Astyanax mexicanus: one gene and its partner. The protein of the gene in region 1 interacts with the protein of each later gene in a pairwise test. Links are inferred from orthologs where the notes say so. Each region holds a gene or a part of one and is shown in the gene's direction. Other genes may lie near its edges.

Region 1 (8,008 bases):
CCTGTCAAGTCTCCCGTTTTGGCCGGGAAACTACCGTATTTTACTCCTCTTTCCCGCCGTCCTCCCGTATTAGTATTTTCCCGTAAATTTCCCGTATTATACTAAATAAAAAAATATATAGGCCACAGGCGACAATGCACTGACCGCTGTGTGTCTCTTAACCAATCGTGGTGCCGGTTCAAGTAGAAAGTCCCGCCTTTCAGGAGAAACAGCCAATCAGCTAGCTGGTTTTGCGGAGCGCAGTTTAGTGTGCGGGAAGCCCCGCCCCTCCCCTCGCTGTGAGTTCAGGCAGCTAGTCGGAGCAGCTGTCGTTAAAACTAATCTGGATATACGGAGATTTTTCTAAAAGAAAGGTAACTAACCATGTAAACTGTGATGAGATTGTTTCTGATAGCTGGTTAAAAAGACTCTTCTCTGAATCAAAACACAAATTAAACCCACTGTGTGTTTAATAAAATACAGCTTGTGACTCAGTTAGCTTAACTTTAGAATTAGCTAGATAGATATTCAGGGTTTGAGAAAAATCTACATATATATATATATATATATATATAATGCCCTGCCCTGATGTGCCTGATCAGCCAATAACTATCATTTCCAAACTCTATTAGTTCAGGGCTAGTTTTAGGGTTTGTTAGAATTTGTTTAAATCTCAAGTATTGTGGTAATGTATTATAATGTAATGTAATGTATTATTTAGAAGGGGTAGAAGAGATGGTTGAGCTGGAGAGAGAGAAAATGTGGAGAGGGCTGAAATTAACTGAACTGATCAGGAGTGGACTGAACGATAGAAAGAAGTATTAATGAAAGATTATTAATTGTGTAGGCCCCTTAGGACTATTATTTACTTATGGAATATATCTGATCCATGTCCTATTTGTAAATTTGTGCACCCTTCAATTTCAATTTTAAGTCTATTAAATAAATAAAAATAAATAAAAATATATATATATATATATATTTTTTTTTCCCCCCTCGTTTGGGCTGTTGGGGCGGCGGAAAAAATCCCTTATTTTTAAGTCCAAAACTTGACAGGTATGGTATTAGCAGCTAGCTGTTAAACAAGCTACTAACTTGGAGCTAATCTCTCCTAATACAGACTTCAGCATGTATTTTATGAATATTTCATTCAATAAGAATGGGAAACACAAAAATGCGTTGTTTTCTGTTGAAGACACATGCAACATTTTAATTAGCTTACTTCATACATCAATTTTAGCCAGTATCATTAGCTCTGACTTTAAAAAGCAGTCTAAAACCACCGCCTGAACCTGATTTATAGAAAACGCATGGATTGATGTGATTCTTGGAGTGTTTATAAAAACAGTCGTGACCCAGATGGAAATACAAAAGCACGCAAAAAGTGAGTTTTGCATAATATCTACCCTTTAAAGGAAAGCAGAGGGCAGGAATATTATGTTAAATATGAACAATGCAGACTTAGACAAGGTTACGACTAAGTATAAATTGACAAAACTTCATGCAGCCTTTCTAGACTTTTCCAGAACGCTCAGACTATCAGTCCGCTGCCGTCTTCAGAGGAATACATACTAAGATATAGGATAATGGGCTTACTCGTTTATGTGTCTTTTCTGCCCTCTTGTGGACACATTTTACCAGTGCATGCAGCTCCACATTAACTTACAGTATTTACATCCTCATTTAAAGCAAGTTTGACTCTATCTATCTATCTATCTATCTATCTATCTATCTATCTATCTATCTATCTATCTATCTATCTATCTATCTATCTATCTATCTATCTATCTATTACACCAATTAACGTTACACCGACACTTTAATTAATAAAGTCCCTTAATTAGTTATGATTTTATATAACAACATTAATTAATGACGCTCCAGCTCATCCCAACTCACCTCAAATCACCATCTCAGTTGATAAGGTTTAGATCAGGTTTAGATTGTGGAGGATAAACATTATGTTTACTACGTAAGTACTAGTTTCCTTATGTGTCGCTTAATTGTTTTCATGTGATTAAAATTACAAAGTAAAAACACTGTATATTTTTTTATTCCAAAAGCATATACAAAAAGGAGAAAAAAAATAAAATAATAAAAAAGGATAATGAAATACTTAAAAAACTAAGGTATCACACAGCAAACTGCAAATCTGTACAATAATAATAAAATAAAAATAGGCGCTGGGTTGTTAAACACAAAATAGTCCTGTAATTTGTACACAGATTTAACACATTATTTTAAAGAAAAATTAATTATTTTTTAGTCAGAGCGCGCGGTGAACGGACAGGGGGCGTGGCTTCGGCTATCTTGTCCTCTATTGGTCCGTTTTCCGGAATCGAGCTCATGTGTCACTTTTGCAGTTATTTTGAAAACCCCAACAAAGCGCTCTCTGTTTGCGGGTCAGAGAAATAAAACCGACCTTAAACTAAACGATGGTCCTCCCGTAACTTTCTAAGGTAGGACTAGTCTCAGTATTCCCGCTTATGTTAATAAATTAACTTAAAATCCGTCTCATGCAGTAAAACGCTGGTGTGAGCTAAGCTAAGCTAAGATAACTAACTAACCTAGCTGACAGCAGCAGCTGTAGGTTTAGAGCTAACTGAGCTAACTGTTAGATTAGGTGAACTATAGCTCAGATAGCCTAATTAACGTTAGTGTTAATCTACTGTTTTCAGATAAACAACAGGTTTTCTAAACTCACGTAACGTTATATCTGCAGCTGAGCTACAGCTTGACTGAGCTAATAGCAGGGTTAAATTACTAAGTAACTTGTTTAATGTTTTATAAAAGTTTGCACATTGTTTTATCTATCTTACTTAATTCATCAACTTTACGATTAAATAGAAATACATTATGAATATAATATGAATAAATATAACTATAAGGTTCGGTGTAATAACTGTTCATAGTGGTGGTGACTACATTAACTAGTAGTGCAAAATCGAATATATAACCTAGGTTATTTAGTATTCTCTCTCCCATACGGTATTATCCTCCTTTCATCAAATTTGATTAATGATTCAATCATTACAAATGTACAGTTTATCAGGACTCAAACAAAACAAACATTAGGTCTTTATATACTGATATCGTTACAAAATAATCATAACAATACGATAAACAGTGTTAGATCACCTAGTTTTAAGAGTCAAATAAAAAAAATCACTTTTTATTTATAAAGCGATTGTATTACAACTGATGTCACAAAGCAGCTTAACAGAAATGTGATCACAGGACAGAGAATCAGACAACATTGGACATACAATACAGAACCCCCAGCGAGCAACGGAGGCAAGGAAAAACTCCCTCAGAGATAAAGGAGTACCTTATATCACATATACTATCACACATACTATCAAGGCTAATATATAGGGGAGGGGGACCCATTCTCCTCTGGTCAGAACTTAATCATTGGTTGTTAAATAGTCATTCTATGGTTGTTATATTCAGATAAATAGCCACACCAGCAGTGGAAGCGGTTAGAAAATTCTTAGTTAGAGTATCATACAAACTTGGATGTAATCGGTAGTGGAGAGTGAGCAACTTGTCCAATGCAGGTGGCAAAAACTGAACAATGGACAGCTGATGTGTGTTGGGTGATGGGGAAACCTGATCTACGGGGACTTCCATCAGGCCACACAGGTGACCTGAGAACCTAAGGGTCGACCTGAGGGTCAAACATCCATTAGTGTCAGTCTGGACAGGTTGGCAGTCAATAACTTGAAAGAAGGTAGGAAGTCAAAATGAATTTTGACTGGATTTATGGAGAGCAAACTATATGACAGGGAGAGAGCCAGAAGGTAACATAGACACAGAGGCACCCTGAAACACCGGCAACCACCCACTCCACCGTCCACAAACCTGAGTGACCACGTTCAGTGGGAGAACAACAGCACCAGCATCTCAGTTTACCACAATTCCCTCTGTCCATGAACCCCTGGATCTGCAGCCTTATCTAAGGGGAACATTAATTACCAAAAGCTAAACTAAACAAGTACGTTTTTGAACTAGACTTCCGAGAATGAGACTATCTGAGCCCTGAACATTTTCTGGAAGGTTATTCCAGAGTTGTTGAGGTTTATAAAAGGGTTTTTGGAAACTTCTAGGAAACCAGCTCCCTGTGATTTATGTTGTTGTGACTGTTCATAATAAGAGATGAGGGCTTGCAAATACTCAGGGCTTTAAACGTAAACAGGAGAATTTTATAGTCTATGCAGAATTTGACTGGAGGCCAGTACAGTGTTGATAGGTCTGGGCTAATTATGGTCAAATTATCTAGTTTTTGTAAGAGCAATGTTGGGCATAAAATGTATTTTTAAAATCTATTTTAGTGGATAAATGCATATATGCATTACATTATAAGGCAAATTAGTCATTAGTCATTTAATTAACATTTCATAGAACAATCAGAAGACAGGTGTAGGGTTAAGGTTTGTCAATCTTAAACTAACTTTGTCAAACATTAAAATTTAATTCTGTTAGAAATGTCTTTTTCTAGCTGTAACAGCACTTTTATTCTAATTAATTTCGTTAATTTTCCTTCTTTTAAATGTATTGTTTTAATCATGTTTTATTATTGTTCTCATTTTTATTTTATTTTTATTTCCATTTTTATTTTTTATGTCATTCTTTTGCATGTTTATGTGACTCTCTTTGAATTGTCTAATTTGTAAAGCACTTTGAATGACCGTTGAATGAAAGTGCTGTATAAATGAACTTTCTTTGCTGCTGTGTAGTTTCTTGATTTTTCTGAGAGTTTACTACTTCACTGATTCTAAGATGTATTTTTTCAGAAACTCTCCCACTCCAAAAAGGTGAGAGGATGTTATAAGGGTGGTCAAATCTTCTAACCTGTGCAACAGAAGAGATCCCCTCAGAGAGGAAGAGGACACTATGATGGAAAAGGTGAGCTGCATCTTTTCTACCCATTCACTGAGCAGCCATGTGTTGTAATCCGATCTGCACCAGCCTCCCTTTAAATGAAGGGCTGTACACCAGCCTGGTCCCCAGAGGAGCAGAGGAACTCGGCTTGGGCACCTAGCAGAAGAGAGCAGTCACCTGTATACTGTGTTCTGTATTTTCCATAAAAGCAGTCAAAAGCAGTAGTTTTTAGGTCAGTTGAGTGAAGGTGTAGAGAAGAGATGGACAGGACAGCTCTGACTGTTCGGCTTCATGCTAGAGATAAGACGTATGTCTTTCTGTGGAACTACAGTCAGTTTCAGGTAGCTACTGATGCTCTGCACAAATCTTTCCATTCTGAATCTCAGCAGTGTTGGTAAGAAACTGTGTAATGATTGAGGTGTTTGATTTTAATTTGCAGCAGGAGCAGACGGATTGGGACGCTGTTAATCGGATGCTGCAACATCATGGTTTCAAACCTGTTCGCTTTGCGGATCCAACAGAGAACAAGAACCTGGCAGGTATTCTAAGTCTAGTTTTTAAAGGAGTAGTTCACTTCAGAATCTGTCAAACAGCCATTATTGGTATAATGACATATTTGATATGTGTTGTGTGCTTCTTTAGTTAGTTATGAGAGATGCTAGGCTCACCCTGCTCTGCACATTTATTGCTTTTTCTTCTCTTAACACACCTGTTTCAACTAATCAGTTAATTGACAAGTTCTTACAGAGGTGCAGGGGTGTTTGTTAGCCTTTCATAAATATCTGACGCACATTTTTTCCTTCTCCTTGGTGTAAATTAATTCTGATCTGGCTGTTGAGGCTCACTTGCATTGCTAGAAATAGGAAATATTTCGAATTTTAGTACCACTTATGGCTGTGGACAAATAGCATATAAAAGTGACCCAAATTGATTTTTTCCCTTGTATGTGACATAAGCCCTATTTGGACAGGATTAGTTTCTCAGGTGGCTGTCTGTGAAAAATATTTCACACTTCTACTCTTCTCAGTGAGTTTTATGGTTTTCTCGGTCACATGACATTGCGTTCAGTAGCTCCTCCACTTCTACTCGTTGTTGTGTTTACGTGGATCTCCGTGGAAACATGCGCCCAAAGTGTAATTACGATGCATGGTAGTGGACGCGAGGAGATGAAACTCAGAGATGTCTGTCTGAACATGACTAAAATTATCGGAGGAACACGGAGTTCACCGAAGAAGTAGGTAATTTAACTTGTCATTTTCTCAGGACGTCTGAGAAAAACACGTATATGGTCGTTCTGAACAGAAATAAAATCACAGAGGACCCCCCTATAAAAGAGCAAATTACCCCAAGACCCCCTGAGAAATAAATCCCGCTTGGATAGAGCTAAAGATGTGTTCTTAGTTTGGCAGTATAAAAGGCAAAAAACTGACAGTTTCAGTTCCGATTTGGGTAATTTTCCATTGTGGTATTGAAATCTGATACCTGTCTAATTTGTAGCAAAGCAACTCAGTCTAAATAGACAGACAGGAATGTATGTGACTTTTACGTCATTTATGGAAAAAAATGGCAGTAAGGAGAAGGGGAAAATGGACAACAGCAGTGAGACAGGGGTTCAGTTGCTGAATAATGACCTCATAAAAGATAATAGCCCTATAGATGGGGTGAAGTCTTCTTTTAAACGTAATTCATAGATTGTGTCACAACCACTCAGTGTTTCTAATGAAACATCACAGGATTCCATAACTGCAATCTGAATGGAAGTCCAGGTTTCATCTACTGAAACTCCTTAATAGCTCCTGTAATGCGGCTAATGTGAAACTTAAACATCATATAAAGTGTTGCATCAAAAATCTGATCTACCTAAAGTGGCCCAAATCAAATATTAGACTCAGTGTGTTCTTTGGATTTCACACTGCCACATAGATCAAATATCTGTGTCACATTCAACAAAAAAGACCAGATTGAAAGATCTGCTGTGTAAACCAGGTTTAAGACACACTGATTTAGTTTTAGTTTGTTTTGGGCACAACATTACACTATGACTGTTTGTATCCGTGTTTGTATTGATAAGTTTTCTATTTAATCAGATCTAAGCTGTATTGTTTGTGCTCTTTAGACCTGGTTCTGCTGGAGAGAACATCATCAGCTGAAATGCGGAACATGCTGAAGACAATGTTGACAGATTCTGAGAGGAGGCAGGCCCTCATCCAGGAGCTCATTCAGTCCAACAGCCAGCTGAAGTAAGACATGTTCTACAGTATTATTTACCCAAACCATGTTTTTATTTTCTGAAATCAGGACTATTAGTAGTGATGCATTAATTTTTATTAATTTATTTTTTATATATAAATGAAACTGAACTAAAGTAAACAACTGGCTAAATGCTAAATACTAAACATGGCCTTACACTGGATTTAGTAAAATTACCGCTTTTTTCTACTGTTGCATTATATTTCTTATATCATGGCATTAAAACATTTATTTTATTATTTTATTCTAAAGATTAATTTATTCCAGCCGTACTGTTCTGGTCACACAAAACCTTGAGAGTGCTTTTCTTTTTTAATCTTTTTTTTATTTATCTTTTTTTTTTTAATTTATTTTATTTATATATTATATATATTTTCCACCATTTCTCTCCTATTTACACAGCCAATTACCCAACCCACTCATTAGGACCCCCCCAATCACTAGTAATGCCCCAACACACCAGGAGGATGAAGACTAGCTCATGCCTCCTCAGGGGAAACACTACAATTTGACTTAAAATAAATTATTAAATAAATTATTCTGTATAATTTAAATTATTCTGTCTTTTCATTTATTTAGTTTCTAAATATTTAGTGCCTCTTCAGCTATTAAGTGGGAATTGGTCCTCCTGTAATGCAGTAACCACCTCTTCTCTTCTGAAAGGGCTTTACGCCAGAATTTGGAACATTGCTGTGTAGAGTATTAGATTGCATTCAGCCACATGAGAGCAGCAGTATCAGTCAGGTCAGTTACTGATCAAGTCAAGTCAAGTCAAGAGGCTTTTATTGTCATTACATCTGAGTACAGGTACACAGTGTGATGAAATTACGTTCCTCCGGAACCATGGTGCAACATAGAACAACAAGCAATAGACAACATAAAATGCAGGAGTGAC
Region 2 (7,975 bases), on another chromosome or scaffold:
ATAATCTGGTGCACCTTATAGTGCGAAAACATACTAGAAAATAGACATTTACTGAGAGTGTGCCTTATAATGTTTTTTATAGTGCGCCTTATAATCCAGTGCACCTTATAGGGCAAAATTTTTGGACAAAATTTTACAATACTTTTTGTCTCATTAGGTAATCTAGTTGAGAGATAACCGTAAGTGAGTGTTTAGGTAATGATTTACACAGTTTAACTTAAAAGATTAGGTATTAAATATTAAAGCCATAATTGGCTGCATTTGCTTTCTAAATATGTTTGTGTGCAATGAGCTGGTGTAATGCTGTGCTAGTTATCTTAAAAAACAGTTTTACTGCATGCCCAGTTAATGACACCTTATTAAAGATCTTTTGATCATTAATAATGCACATTATTACATAATAAAGTGTAATTTGCATATTTTTCCTGACCTTTTCCTGATTGTATTCGTAGCCCAGCTTGCCATGAATCTAGAGCAGTGTGAAAGCGCATGCACCCTTTAGCTGTCTTTCTGGCCTCAGGTTTTGATTTGACGAGTAATGCTCTGGCTGGGCGTCTCTTTGGGATTCCAGTGGCAGGCACCATGGCACACTCGTACGTCACATCCTTCTCCTCTCTGGAGGAGGTATGGCCACAGGTGCGTCATGACCTCGTTTTCTGTTACTAACCTGTACTAGATGTACAGAAGTGTAAAATAGACACAGTATTAACACTGAAGAAGGTGCATTTGTGACCAAATCAGGAATGACTCATTGTTCACATTGATTAATGTCACAGTGACCATAATGACTTCAGAGAAACTGCAGCTGTGCTGTACGCATTCGCTGCATTTCACGCCTTAAAGAATATAAGAGAATATTTCCCAGCAGAAAGTTTTCGTGAGTGACAGGCCAGTAAAGCATCTGACAGCATGTAGGTAAATTTTAGGTAATTGTTTAAATTATTTGTCCAGATACGAGTCTTTTGGCAAAACTTCAAATGTTATATTCACCTGTCATTGAACATTGCTCTGGATACAAGTATCTGCTAAATTTTCAGTTTTTACTGAGTTACTAAGTTCCGTTTTGATTGTGTTAAATTAATCCAAATAATTTAATGTATTTAAGTCTTTGACTTGTGCTGGTTAGAGACTATTAGTTTTATTTCAGTTTGCAACATTACAACATTTATTTGTGAACATTAATGACAGAATCTGGGTTCAGAGTGTTGAGATAAGCTTTGATTCTGAAAATATTATGTATTTTTACCAAGTACTGTTAAATTATTCAAGAAGGAAAATGTATTGACTTGTTAATATTTACCATATTTGTCCACAACTTCATGTGTGATCATGTGTAATCCTTTACACAGTCAACTGGAAATAGATTAAAACAGCATTCAAAATAGTTTATGTATATATATAAACTATTTTGAATGCTGTTTTAATCTATTTCCAGTTGACTGTGTAAAGGATTACACATGATCACACATGAAGTTGTGGACAAATATGGTAAATGTGTGTGTGTATAATATATAATAGAGTGTATAGTGCATGTTTATTCAAGTAACTGCATGCAAGATACATAAAAAATTGTTGTTGATTTTCTAATTTCACTGCAGACTCTGGTGCCCTCTGAGGGTGATGACCCCATTGACTTCCTCTCTTTAGTGAAGGGCTGGTTAGGACGTGTGTGCCAGTTACTGGGAGCTAGACCTCAGCAGGTGCGGGAAGGAGAGCTTGCGGCCTTACTGTCGTACGCTATTGCCTATCCCAACAACTTCCTGCCGGTGATCGACAGCTACAATGTCAGCTGGTAACACCTGGTTTCTGAGATTAACATAGTTTGACGGTATGGAATAAGAAGAATGTTAAATATGTTCTATTGTTAAACGTGTTTTATTGCAGTAGCGGGGTACTGTGTTTTTGTGCTGTTGGCCTTGCTCTGTGCGAGCTGCAGTATCAGCCACTAGGAGTGAGGCTGGATAGTGGCGACCTCTGCAAGCAGTCTGTAGAAGTGCGTTGTGTTTTCAGAGAGTGCAGCAAACAGTCAGTAACAAACCATCCTTCCAACTCCTTGATATAATTCTGTTGATTACAGACAGATGCTAATCAGATGTTTCTCTCTGCTTTCTGTAGTTTTTCCGTCCCTAAGTTTGAGTCTCTCCTCATCGTTGGTACTAACAGCGTCTCTGAACAGAGTCTTGTTGAGCTCAACAAAAGAGTAAGTTTTTTTAAAGGCTTCTTACTAGAGAGGTATTGTTAATTTACAGTTTAGTTCAAGCATGATTGGTAATTTTATGATGCTAACCTTATGCTACCCTTGTTTCTGTCTCTGTCAGGACAATGAGATTGATGTAGTGGGAGTTGGAACTCACCTTGTGACCTGCACAAGTCAGCCCTCCCTTGGCTGTGTATATAAGGTAACCCACGCAAAAACAACAATGAAAATAGGTTTTAATTCTTGTTATAAAAAATTAACCAGTTTCCCAAAAATAATAACCAGTATGCAGTAACTGATGAATTGTCATTTTAAGAGTTCTTTTATAATGATCATTTATTAGCAATGTTTAATTATTAAGGGTATTCAGAAATTGTAATAAAAATATGTATAAATATTGTACTTAAATAAATTAAACAGAAAACCACTGTTTTAAAACAGTCAACACACCTGCTCATGCACATTAATGTCCTGCTAATGTACTTGCTAAAAAAATACAACGGGCAGTACTGGGGTCAGTGGAAGTTACGTCTATTTATTGTACGATCAATTGATGTAATTATCAGGACAGGCCTAAGATGAAGCCTCATGTGTTTATATTCATGTATTTTTGCACTTTTTGTAAGTTGGTAGAGGTCAGAGGCTGCCCCAGGATGAAGCTGAGTGAGGACCCAGAAAAGAGCACACTTCCAGGCAGAAAGGCAATCTACAGACTGCTGGATACTGAGGGTCTGGCCACTTTTCCTTTTCCTCAAACCCAATCCCTTTTCTCTTACGTTTACAGAGTTTTTTGTAGTCTTGTTTTTTGTTTTAAATAGGATCATTTTATGAGCCAGAGTTTCAGTGCAATAATAGCACTTACCACTGTTAACGATTACTTAAGACTAGGCTTGTTTAGGTTAATTCCGTGGATGTTTGGTAGCTATGCTAAAACACTCCTGGTGTCCCCTTAATATTAAATTTAAAAAAAATCATGGGATAGCAGTATGTAAATTGATCATAAACTGTTACCTTAGGGGACAGTTTGGGGATGCCCACACCTGTAAAAGTTATGAGGTGTTCTCTTGTAAAAGGGGCTGAACACTGGCCAGTGTGCCCATGGCAAGGTGACATGAATTATGGAAGTTTTAACAGAGCCTGGTAGTGTGTGTTATATGAGTCCGATGTCCCACACTTTAGGTTTTGCAGGTAGTAAACAGTCATTTATCCACAGTGTCACATGTTCTTGGAATACACCATAGATGGCATTAACACCCACAGTGGACAGCACAGTGGGTAGTAATGATCGTGACTGGCAGCATCTGGTTAGTCCACATTCAGTGTAGTAGACCCCAGACACATATTACACAGGTCAGTGCAGTGTTCTTTAGCCTCTATGGTCTTGGGATATGTTGCATGCCAGTGTATGCTGGTGTGTTTTTATGATGAATATTTTAATTTGATTTTTACAAAATTCTAAATCAAATATTTTAGACTTATTTTTTACTAAAATATCGGCATGCGCATATTTTCTTATGCTTTCCTGTGTCATTCATTCCTTCTCTTTGTGCATTCACACACAGGTCATCCTCAAATGGATCTCATCTGCTTGTCAGAGGAGCCAGCTCCAAAAGTGGGAGTACCGTTGAATTATTACCCATTAGGTCTAAACAAGGCTGTCCAGTCAGTCACACCTTCCCAAGTGACCAGCCTTCGATTAGATGTGTTTTCCCATGGTGAGGTAAACAAACTTTTTTTAATCACTGATCATCTAAATGTCTTTAAACAACCATAAGCGCTCTGTGTACTTTTTCAGAAAGCATTTAGGATCATGTTCTGACCCGCACTAAGCACCTTAGCCATCAAATGCTTGTTGTGTTATAGATATATTTAGTTTAATTAATTACATTGTAATGCAGTTATTATAAAAAATAAAATTTTGAAGTGAATGACCTGATAATCCAAGGTCAGAAAATGGTAGTCAATACTTGCAATTCTGTTAACAGCCAAACCCCATCCTTTCTTTATGCGTTTTCCTGTTAACGCTCAACATGGTAAAATTTTATATTTTGAATTTTCAGATCACTTTACCCCTGAGCACTGCACCCGAGAGTCGAGTACATGCCCAGACCTCCCTCCAAGCCATGTATCCTCACCACAAGAAACTGCAGGAGCCAGAAAATTACACAGTCAGTGTTTTTTTATCTATATATAAAAGTTAATCAAACTACTTGACATAATATCAAAGATATTCTTCTTATCACTGTGTTATTGCTTATATAATCTGTATTTCTGATTTTTACAGGTGGCTATATCAGAGAGAATTCATTTGCTTGTGTCTAACATTCGAAAGGGAAACAGCAAAGGCAGTCATTTTCTGCTCTCCAACTGAAGCAACCGAGCCACTTGGGTTCCTTTGACCTTGGATTTAGAGAATAATTTCTACATGTTTCTTAAAAAGCTGTTGAAAGCGCACAGATTCTATCACACATACATTCTCAGTGTTGATGTTATTTTCAAAAATTTTAGAGTGTATTTCTGTAGTCTTTATAGTACTGACAATTACATAGCAAATGACTTTGGCTTGTAATTAAAACTGAAAGATTAAAATTTACAAAGCTGTGTAATGTTTTATTTTACCCACTAATATGTTATCATGTTTAAGGATACTGCTAAAGTATATATATATATATATATATATATATATATATATATATATATATATATATATATATATATATATATATATATTCATTAGGTACCTAGATACGTCGTATGTGGCACTGAATCGGGCCATATCAACATGCCAGCTAAAAATTGGATAGGATCTCATTAGGATGTATGGGCGTTCCACATTTGATCATCTGATTATGGCCTATTTTCGCAGTCATACAGACAGGTCCTTCAGTATTTGGACAGTAGTGAAGTTTTTATTATGTTGCGTCTGTACATTACCTCAGTGCACTAACCCTTTCAGACCCTGCGTCAATTACAATGGACTTCATGTCATTATATTTTTTAATTGTTTTGTTACACAGAACCCTGATTAAGACCTGTTGTCCAACAGAAACCAGTCAATGAAACAGTAGCTTAGCCCCGCCCACTGCACTGGACAAATAAAAATCAGCAACTCGGACATTAGAGCATGTCAACACTACAGAACAAATAAGGCAAAGTAATGAAAACTCTTTTTTCTTTTTATCATATTAAGTTATAATGTTTTGGCTAATTGGATTTATTTTAATACAGATTTTGTATTAGGATAGTAGTGTCTAATTTTGTGTGCATTACAGACAGAAAACATTCTTATATTTTTTCATCATTGGAACATAATTCAGGTCTAAAGAAATTTAAATGAAGTGAAGACTTCCAAGGTTAATTAAATAGTTGGGGATTGGAGGATTTCTTCATAATCTATCTGTTTTGTTTTCACAGGATTAAGATAGCTTTTGCAGGTTGTGATCATGCAAAAAAAAAAAAAACATGTGAAAGTTTGTCTACATGTTTTTTACAGCGCTGCGGGGTTAAGTTAGCCCGGGTCAGTGTGAGGGGAGACGGTGGGAAGTGTGTCAGTGGGGGACAGTGCGGTGGTGAACAGTGGGTGAAACGTTGGGCCTCAGTATAAAGTCTTTGTCTGCACTATCGACTCCTCCCGACTGACGATGCCTCTGCGTTGCCACGGACAACGGTCGTCTTTCCGCTTCAAATCACTTTTGAACACGCCCACCTGCTCCGGGGTTGGCGCTCGGACTGCCAATCAAGTTTCCACCTCGTGCTCCTATTGGACAGCTGGGCTGTCGCTCACCTGTATCGCGCTCCTATTGGCTAAAGCAGAGGAGTGGGCTCGTTCTGGGACTTAAACCGGAGCAGGGACGCAGATCAGCTGCAGCAGCGGGTCTGCAACAAGTGTCTTGCTGTTATTTTCGATAGTTGTTCTCTACCGGGGTTCTGGTTTGGCATTATGGTGAAGAATCGTCTGCAGATCGGAGTTTTTTACTGGATAGAGGGGTTGGACTGGTAGGAAACTAATCCAAAGCCCGGGTTTAAGTGGGTCCTGCTGGTGAATGCTCCATGTGTGAGGGGGGATTACCGTGAAACTCCCGGATTTGCTGAAGTTTGACATGCACGCAGTCTGGAGTGTCGCGTGACCTCGTGTCGCAGTACGGGCGCGCGCTCTCCGCTTCTCCCGAGTTCGCGTTTCTTTAAGGACTGCAGGGTCCCGGCCGCCCCGCGCGCCCCCCGTGACGCAGTGAGTGTAGTGGGCAGGTGAGCGAGTGCCCCCCGGAGAGAGGAGAATGTCGGACACTGGCTCAGAGGAAGAGGTATCAGTGCTGAGGGAGGAGGGGGTCTCCGGAGGATCAGTCAGAAAGGTGGGTGTTTTAATGTTATTATTGTAGTAAAAGGAACGATCCCGTTACTCCATGAGTTAATCTTACCCAGCGGGTAGTGCGGAGTCTGCGCAGTGCTCCTCACAGCCACTCATTTCTCCTAGATCTGACTGTAATGGGTTCTCTGATATGCAGGGTTAGAATGGCTTAGTGCTCTCTTACAACACACATCAGTCTTCTAATAATTAGGCCTGTTATACTTATTTGTATTTTTTTATTATTATTATAATGATTATGTTTATGGATATTGTTTACCTATTATGCTTTTTATTAAGCATAGATGAATAAACAGAACAAAACGTGTGTGTGTGTGTGTGTTAGTGTAAGTTATACAGTATCCAACAAAAGTGAGTACACCCCTCCCATCTCTGCTAATATTGTATTATATACTTTCATTGGACATCACCATAAAAACAAAAATGTCCATCCCTTTTGTCATGTGATTTGTATGGCTGGGGGGTTACAGTTCTCTTATACTGACCTGTGGATATTTAAAATGACAAATAATTCTCTAAGGATGTGAGAAAAAGAATTGCTCTCCACATGATTGTCTAGGCAATAAGAAGATTGCTAACATATTAAATTGAAATATAGCAGGATGGCCAACGTCATACAGCAGGTTTCCAGAAACAGACTTTTCCAGGGTCAAACTAAGAAGTTGAGCCCACGTGTTCAGTGTAATATCCAGATGTTGGCTTTAAAAAATAGACACGAGTGCTGCCAGCGGGAGGTCAGCCTGCAGTGTTCAGACCATAAGCCGCACATTGCATAAACTTGTGTCTAAATATAGCTATTATCCCAGAAGGGAGCCTCTTCTGAACCTGATGCACAAGAAAGCCCTCATACAGTGCTGAAGATAAGTTCAAGAACATGGATTACTGGAACTGCGCTCTGATGGACCAAGAAACTTATTTGGCTTAGATGGTGTCCAGCATGTGTGACAGCATCCTGGTGAGGAGTACCAAAAAACTGTCCCTTGCCTACAATCAAGCATGGTGGTGGTGGCATCAAGATCTGGGGCTGCATAATTGCTGCCGGCACTGGGGAGCTGTATGCCAACATTCTGAAGCAGAGCATGATTCCCTCTCTTCAGAAATTGAGCTGCATGGCAGTTTTCTAACACAATAATGACCCAAACACACCTCTAAGTTGAAAAGTGCTGTGCTGAGGAAGCTGAAGTTAAAAGTGGTGTACTGGCCTAAAAGTATGTGTTCAGACCTAAACGCAGTTGAGCATCTGTGGGACATTCTCAAGTAGAAGGTGGAGGTGCGTATGGTGTCTTAACATCCACCAGCTCCCTGATGTGATTATGGAACAGTGGAAAGGGATTCCAGAAGCAACCTGTGCAGCTCTAGTTAAGGCAGTGATAGATAATAATATTGACACTATGCAAAAGGTTGGACATGTTAAC

Evidence for each region.
Region 2: the proteins of cep70 (region 1) and rhpn1 interact in binary tests that used the Homo sapiens proteins (3 or more experiments, as listed by UniProt). The two-hybrid records come from large-scale screens. The link is inferred for Astyanax mexicanus from reciprocal best matches to the Homo sapiens genes CEP70 and RHPN1.

What each region holds. Positions count from the first base shown.
Region 1 is NC_064430.1:21,251,794-21,259,801, forward strand, and holds the start of cep70 (centrosomal protein of 70 kDa), read left to right. Parts: upstream 1-4,915; 5' UTR 4,916-5,123; coding exon 5,124-5,204; intron 5,205-5,302; coding exon 5,303-5,402; intron 5,403-6,979; coding exon 6,980-7,103; intron 7,104-8,008.
Region 2 is NC_064408.1:54,510,308-54,518,282, reverse strand, and holds the start of rhpn1 (rhophilin-1), read left to right. Parts: upstream 1-4,941; 5' UTR 4,942-6,471; coding exon 6,472-6,546; intron 6,547-7,975. Other genes in the region: naprt (nicotinate phosphoribosyltransferase), read left to right, coding at 521-636, 1,599-1,792, 1,885-2,025, 2,116-2,200, 2,319-2,399, 2,824-2,926, 3,760-3,917, 4,258-4,365 and 1 more. UniProt on the Homo sapiens protein: Has no enzymatic activity. May serve as a target for Rho, and interact with some cytoskeletal component upon Rho binding or relay a Rho signal to other molecules.